2 linked regions of the Danio rerio genome follow. The main gene of each other region encodes a partner of the protein of the gene in region 2 in a complex. Links are inferred from orthologs where the notes say so. Each region holds a gene or a part of one and is shown on either strand. Other genes may lie near its edges.

Evidence for each region.
Region 1: the proteins of slc3a1 (region 2) and slc7a9 are in contact, whole or in part, in a cryo-EM structure (PDB 6LID), measured with the Homo sapiens proteins. The link is inferred for Danio rerio from reciprocal best matches to the Homo sapiens genes SLC3A1 and SLC7A9. Residues at the interface, in NP_000332.2 of Homo sapiens: Pro64, Tyr65, Ala66, Gly67, Met68, Pro69, Lys70, Leu73, Phe74, Phe76, Ser77, Tyr82, Pro85, Arg86, Phe90, Thr93, Val97, Leu100, Ile101, Ala103, Thr104, Ile107, Ile108, Ser111, Cys114, His201, Asp202, Thr373, Glu374, Pro375; in NP_001119807.1 of Homo sapiens: Cys137, Phe140, Tyr141, Val142, Gly143, Cys144, Pro147, Ile149, Val150, Cys153, Leu154, Ala156, Ala157, Leu160, Phe161, Thr164, Leu168, Thr279, Thr281, Asp295, Arg296, Tyr299, Tyr343, Val346, Arg347, Lys467, Thr470, Met471, His472, Gln474.

The regions. Positions count from the first base shown.
Region 1 is NC_133182.1:38,717,935-38,722,248, reverse strand, and holds the start of slc7a9 (B(0,+)-type amino acid transporter 1), read right to left. Parts: upstream 2,840-4,314; 5' UTR 2,249-2,839; intron 908-2,248; exon of another isoform or gene 868-907; intron 1-867. UniProt on the Homo sapiens protein: Associates with SLC3A1 to form a functional transporter complex that mediates the electrogenic exchange between cationic amino acids and neutral amino acids, with a stoichiometry of 1:1.
Region 2 is NC_133188.1:11,097,602-11,101,427, reverse strand, and holds part of slc3a1 (amino acid transporter heavy chain SLC3A1), read left to right. Parts: intron 1-653; coding exon 654-833; intron 834-3,826. UniProt on the Homo sapiens protein: Acts as a chaperone that facilitates biogenesis and trafficking of functional transporter heteromers to the plasma membrane.

The sequences.
Region 1 (4,314 bases), on a different chromosome or scaffold from region 2:
TATAATACAGCTAGCTAATACTACTCAAAGTGTACTACTTTTTGTTTTATATTTGTTCAATGAAAGGCTGCCACTGCAGTCTCCAATCACAAGAGCACAACAATAGTGTGATTGAGCACTTGAAAATGACTCTGCTGACCTTACACTGAGATGTTAACCTAGATAAGGAGCAAACTATAACTCTAGACCATCCCAGAGGACAGCTTTAACAAGCTTTTCCTCCATCATCGGCTTTAACTGTTAAGTAGCAGCTGTAAATCTGCAGTGTTTAAATGTACACTGTGACTTTTACTTCATACTGAGATTTTGATGGCCTGTCACAAAATCTGTCACACACTCTTAGTACAATGGTGGTACTTTTTCAAAAGGTACATTTATTTATTTATTTTTTACAGTAGAAACTAAAATAGACCCTTTAGGTGAAAAAAAAAAAATACTTCCAGTGACTGCATTTTGTATTTCTGAGAGTGCAAATTCATCAGAACAATTTTTTAATTCTATGGCCTTTTTTCATTTATGTATTAAACAGTGTGATGCTTTAATCCAATACTTAATAGTAATGTCCAGTAGAGGGCAGCACTACTTTTCACATTTTCTGTTTGTTCCACTGATTGAACAGGCCAAAGTCAATAATGACTAGGCTAAATTCTGTCTTTATAATACGCATCACTTTTGTTGCCTTACTTTGCTTTAAGACAGCACAGTTAAACAAGAAACTCTATATAATTAAATAAAGGCCTTATAAAAACAACTAAACATGTCTATTTTTAAAACTGATGACTAATTGCTGCACTAAGTGAAGGAGTGAGAGTACTATGAATCAATTCACAGAATGAAGAATAAGACTGCTGGAGAGGTATACATTACCTGACAAAAGTCTTGTCCCCCATCTAATTTTAAAAAAAAACAAATAATAACTTGACTTCTAGATGATAATTTGGTATCAGGAGTGGCTTATATGAAAGGCAAAGGCCTTTAGATTACACTTATTTTACCTAACTAAAATATGATTATGCCTTTAATTATTTAATTAGGACAGTAAGGTCTGACTTTGCTTTGACAAAAGTCTTGTCACTCAACAGAAATAATGTACAGTATAAACTCATGGTGCAGTGGAAGAAGATTTAATATTGTGTATGACTCCCATGAGCTTGGAGGACTGCAGCCATACATCTCTGCAATGACTCAAATATCTTATTAATAAAGTCATCTGGAATGGCAAAGAAAGCGTTCCTGCAGGACTCTCAGAGTTCATCAAGATTCTTTGGATTCATCTTCAATGCCTCTACCTTCATCTTACTCCAGACATGCTCAATAATGTTCATTCCTGATGACTGGGCTGGCCAATCCTGGAGCACCTTGACCTTTTTTACTTTCAGGATTTCTGATATGGAGGCTGAAGTATTATAAGGAGTGCTATCCTGCTGAAGAATTTGCCCTCTCCTGTGGTTTGTGATATAATGGGCGGCACAAATGTTTTGATACCTCAGGTGGTTGATGTTGCCATCACTCTGAAGATCTCTCGCATGCCCCCATACTGAATGTAACCCCAAACCATGATTTTTCCTTCACCAAACATGACTGATTTCTATGAGGATCTTGGCTCCATGTGGGTTTAAAAATCGGTCTTCTGCAGTATTTGTGATGATTGGGATGCAATTCAACAGATGATTCATTGAAAATTGACCTGCAACTTTTTCAAACAATCAACTAGAAATCAAGTTATTATTTGTTGCTCTTACAATTGATATCAACGACAAGACTTTTCTCAGGTAGTGTATGTACATGAGTGTATTATCGATTAACTTCTGTTGTCAGGACCAAATGTTCCCTCCTGAGTAAAACCAATACCTTACACCAAACTTGAAAAAAATAAATATTATTATGACACAAAACAATACATAATTTGATTACTTAATGCAAAAATATTCCTGCAAGGCATAGCTAGTATATGTTTAGAAAATGGAAAATAGTGTTAGGCCAGAATAAAAACAATAAAAAGACAAGTCCCCCAAAGATAGCTGTAAAAACATGTGTGTGTTGCTCATTGGCTTCGAGGGAACTCAAGGTGCAGTAACGTTATAAGATGTCCTTGTCATTTTCCTCTGCTGTCAAAACCTCAGTCCACTGGGCCTGTGAAAGAGAACAAGTGACCTGGACTTGCAGAGATGTGCTTCACATTTTCATAAGCATACAAACACACACACACGCTCTCTCTTACACACACATAATGCCTTCTTCCTCTTACCTGTGATAAGTTGTATCTTTTTGCAGACAGTCGTCCTACATTTTTATCCTGATTTATAACAAAGCAAAGGCACTGCATGTTTCTTCCAACTCTCCAGTTCACTGGGCTACTCTATCAGTAAACATTCACATCACATAAACATATTCACATAACTGATGTATATTAAAACAAACACACATGCACCACATTAAAAACAGCCAGTCAGTAAAATAAAATCAACAAAGCAAACGAAGACATAGCTAAAGCACAGCAATGAATCAATAAACGGTTAACAATCAGCTGAAATATTACACCACTGCTAATCTATGAAATTTATCATCTATACCCTACAGCTAACCAGCAGTGCTCTATTTCTGCAGTGAGCTTGTACACATGCACACAGACTGCAGTTCTGAGACGCACTGCTACAACACTGTGCATAGTGATTGCTGGATTATAATTTTGCTCTAAATCAGTGCTGTGCTATTATGGAGAGAACTATTGGACTGTCCTAATTATGCTGCAATAGTCAGACAGGCTTTTTTTTTTTTTAATCGATTAGGTGTATTGCAATAGCGTCAGTCTTGTTAAATTGCTGTATCTCTGTAGATTTGTCCTGACCACAGCTGATTTGCTTGGGAATTACTGTTTACCTATGGGATTAAAATGCCTCTCTTTAGGAGAACCTTGTATCAGAGTTTTTATAAAGATGCTGCTTAAAAACAAATAAGCTCCAGAAAACATGAGAACAGAAAACTATTTATTTGTCAGCCCAATACCTTAAAAACAACAAAACAGTCTACACTGATATATCCTTGTGGCCAGTGTGCCAACAAATAGTGTCATTGAGCATCGGGTGGGCCAAGTTCGAGTCCGGGCTTGAGAACCTTTTTAGATCCTATTTCAATTTTTCTCTCTCCTTATTCTTCAGGAGAATTACTATTCTAATAAGTGCAAAAAATAAAAATAAAAATAAATAAATACTACTACTACTAATCCGATTATTAAGTCCTGACATATGTAATACTGTTTCTGACTCCATTCCATTACTCAATTGAATTGAGAAAGTATTTGTTTATGACCACTTTTTAGTCATATCAATTATTAAAGTGAATTTTATATAAAATCATGGTGTACACAACAGTCTCTGGGCTTGCTGCATCACAGACACCAATAATTTTACAATTTATGAAAAATGTATCACTTTCTGGCCATATTAGGCTTGGATGTATGATGGATGTGTGTGATTTTTGAAAGTATTACAGCTCTTTGTAAATGTTTATTATTACCATTTGTTGAGTCTCCTTATTCAGTTTCACAGAGCGTTTTTCAGTTTTCATTGGACCCGGAAGCTGCTTCGCGTGACATCACACTTAACAAGCGGCTGAAATAAAAAATCTCTTCTAAAAGAGAAAGTGGCCTTGTGCATTTCCCTTTGTTGGAAAACATGCTTTGTATTCAGAATAAGATTTCAATATTAAAGTTGGTGCAAACTACAAGATGCAATAGCCTTTTGTCCCCATTTGTAATGTCTAACTAAATGCAGACTTCTTGAGCAAAAAATGTAGTGCAGGAATTTAATTTGTCCATCAGAAATGGATTTGATCATTGATTGTTGTAGCAAAGCATTAATGTTGTTGATTATAAGATCACACAAATTACATAAAAATGATGAAGTTTATGGCAAACCATTTACAATAAAAGCTGTAATATTCCACAATTAAAATAATAATGGCTGCTATTTCTTTCATAATGGTTTGTAAATAACCTTGACCACTTTGCTGATGGAAGCATGTAAGTGTAAATCAAATGGGCTCTATGCACAGCTAGAGTTTTAAAGCCAATGATAAACTTCCGGTGAAAGCTTAATCGGACTATTTTCAATTTCACAAGTTGTTTTTACAGCATCAATGATGCAATGTAATTTAAATACTTTCAGTTAAATAGACTTAAGCATTCATTTAGTTGTTCAAGCATAAAACGAGATGAAAGAGCGTTGTAACTGCTAGCGCCGTCAGTAGCAACAGGCTAGCGCAGAAATTCCATTAAAAACACTGGAGTAAAATGAACTCATTTTTTTTAAGACA
Region 2 (3,826 bases):
TACTAAACCGATGTAGTAACCTGATATGAATAATTACTTTCCTAGGTAGGTGGATACTGTAAAATGAAGTGAATTCGTGTAATAATAATAATAATAATAATAATAATAATAATAATAATAATAATAATAATAATACTTTCTGTTGTTTTAAGATTATTTATTAGAAAATGAGCCTAAATCCAAAACAACAAGGTCTAAAGTCTTGCTTAAAAAACTGAGCTAAGTTGTAGTGATATTTCAGAAGTGAGGGTATTGATGGCTTGGACAGACAAACAAAGGCCACGTTTTCCCCTCATAATGGCTCTATGCCGCTGTATATTTATTTTCATGCAAGTGGAGGAGGTTGTTTAATTGCTCTTATATAATGGCTGAAATTGGGTCTACACATGCCATGATGAGGTTTTACTGTAGCACATTACAGGGCTGTTAGTGTTTTACTTTAAAACATGTTCATCACAAAGCAAACACTGTGGATAGGTCGAAAACACGCTTATCTTCTACATGCAGTATAATAAAATGATCACATATAGATGTCAAAAGATTGGGATGATAAAGGTTGGGTTGGTCAAGGTAATATCAGTGTGGATTGTTGAGCGTCAGATCAAAGGTGCGCAAATGTGTAGCTGATGTTTTAATAATTCGATGTTCTTCAGGAATTAAGGAGAAACTGAGTCATTTCGAGTACCTGAACATTAAGGCGATCTGGATCAGTCCTTTCTACAAGTCTCCTATGAGGGACTTTGGATACGATGTGGAGGATTTCAGAGACGTTGACCCTCTTTTTGGAACAATGGAAGACTTTGATGACCTCTTGACTAGCATGCATGATAAAGGTGAATGTGCATTAATGTAAATAATGATAAATACCTATATTTCCATCCAAAGATGTGCAAAACTGGAATATTGCATAAAGCGTTTGTGAATAAAGCACTGTTTCCATCCAATGAGTCAAAGAGAACAAAATGATAACTTCCTGATTAAGTTTCTCCAAGTATCAAAATAGTTTTAGTTTAAACTTTATTGTCCGTCCTGCTTGACAGAAAGGAAATCTGTCTTTAAAACTGGATTAAAGGCAACAATTACAAACATACAACAACCACACATTAACAACACTCATCAAGACAACAACATAAGTTAAAAGTATAAAAACCAAATTAGCCCCATACAAACTACTGCAGATCATTCTCTGCAACCACCACATTCACTTCAAACAATGATCCGATTTAAAACACTGCCATTGGGATGCCTTTTTATAAGCATGACTTTTTCTAAGCATTTCTTCGTGCTTTAGGAATTCTAAACCTGCGTCCTGAGGGTAACAATTCAAATGCTGAGTGAAGGGGATGTGTAGTATCTTTAAAAATCACAACTGCTGTTTTTTCCGTAAAGGAGTCAAACAAAATCTGCAATGAATGTTGTTTGTGACCAGTTATCTTATTTGCCTGATTGATAATTTGCAATAATTTTTTCTTCCGTTTAAGTGTTGTAAAGATAAATATTTTACATTTAGTCATTTAGCAGACGCTTTTATCTAAAGCGACTTACAAATGAGGACAAGGAAGCAATTTACACAACTATAAGAGCAACAATGAATAAGTGCTGTAGGCAAGCTTCAGGTATGTAAAGTGTAAGAAGCAAAACCATTAGTAATTTTTTTTTTGTTTTGTAGTACAGTTAGCGGTGGAGCCAGAGAGGGAATTGCAGATTAGGAAGGGAAGTAGAGACTAAATAGTTGAGTTTTTAGTCGTTTCTTGAAGACAGCAAGTGACTCTGCCATTCCGATGCAGTTAGGGAGTTCATTCCACCAACTGGGCAAATTGAATGCGAGAGTTCGGGAAAGTGATTTCTTCCCTCTTTGGGATGGAACCACGAGGCGACGTTTATTCACAGAACTAAAGTTTCTGGAGGGCACATAGATCTGCAGAAGTGAGAGCAGATAAGGAGCAAAGCCAGAAGTCGCTATGTAAGCAAACGTCAGAGCTTTGAATTTGATGCGAGCAGCAACTGGCAGCCAGTGCAAACGGATGAGTAGCGGAGTGTTTTTATTTGTGTTGTAAAAATAAAGATTTTATTTGCTGAATAGTAGGGGGTGTAACGGATTGAGTATAAGTGCACAATTAAAATATCAGGATCTCAATTCAAACACCCACGCAACATAAATTATAAATAATCTGCATATGTCTATTAGTCCTTCCATGTGCTGCGTTCAAATCTGCATTTGATCGAGAGAGATTTAATTTGTACACTTTTCAGGTAGTTACAAAGTTACAAACAATCAAATAACACAGAGGTACGGGGATAACAGTTTATTAATAAAACATAACACAGATAAAAGATTAAAATTAAAGCTAAAGATTCAAATCCCAGTTTAATGCAACTTGACGCTGTTGAAAGTTGTGGCAATTACATTGTTTATCCAATAGGTGGCGACAAACAACTATCAAAAAATTGTCACTGATTTTTTTTCCTCTGCCCATAATTATATTAGAGCTTTGTTTCTTCCGATGTCCATATTAAACCCCTTTCCACTAATCTTGGAATTGTCTTTCGAGACGCATCAACCAAATTATACATTTTAAACAGAACCGTACCAGAGTTCGCACAAACCGTACCTACCCCAGACCATCTCTTTCAGGGGGACTCCTGTACGGTTCACGGTTCATGGGTGCACACCCAAGCTCAGAAGACACGTTCACACTAGCTAAACGTACTGTATATGACGTCAAACGAACTCGGGTGCGAACAAAAAGTGCTAATGTTAATGCTAATGTTAAGTCATGTTTACCTTTTTTTATTCAGCTGGTTATTTCTTTAATTTTATTTTTAGTAAAGTGACAGATTTTAAGTTCTGTTTGTTAAAACCAAAAGTTTCTTGCATTACTGTTTTTGTAATAAATTACATCTGTCTCCTTTTTTTTTTTTTTTTTTTGCTGATCCAAAAAAGGATCCGATCCGTGACTCAAAAAACAGTGTGATCCGATCTATGAGATTTGGGATCTGTTACACCACTACTAGACAGAAGAAGCCACTGTGGGAATTTTTTTTCTATATAATCCGCTTGTTAAGTGTGACGTCACGCGAAGCGGCTTCCAGGGCTAAGCGCTCGACTAATGAAATGGTAATAGTAATGAAATGGCCAGAAAGTGACAAATTTTATTTATAAATTGTTAAATTTTTGGTATTTGTTATGCAGTAAGCCCAGAGATTGTTGTGTACATTACGATTTTATTTATTTTAAAATTAAGTTTAATGTGTATTAGGAATAAAACGTTATCATAAACGAATGATTTCTCCACTCAAATGAATGGCGGCTTGGACCCGGAAACAGATTACATACGTCACAAACACGTCACCACTTAACAAGCGGATAAACTACTTGCGGCTCAGATGAAGGCGGCGAAATCTATTGAATGCACTGAGGGTTTTGAAGTGTCGAGACTACTCTTTGGGAGAGTTCTGGGGAGTTATTATACCAAACCACTTTGACATAGTACTTTGGCTAAGGGATTTTACAATGACCAAATCAGCATTTGACCAGTCTGGTGGTTTGTCCATTATTGGCATCTTGTCCTGCCAATATTTGTTAATTCATAATCTGAAAACGAAGTCACAGGACTTCTGATGCGCATGCTGGAGTTTAATCTGTAAATGTGTTTCCATCTTAGTAGATCAGTGGTTGTACGCCTGCTTTTTTTGAGAGGGGTCTGGATGCAGACTTGATGCAAGTCAATCTGACCTGCGTCCAGTGCTTTTTAATATGCTCATCTAACCCCACCCTTCACAGTGATGTCACTAGCTCCACTGAGTGCATTATTTCGGACATTGC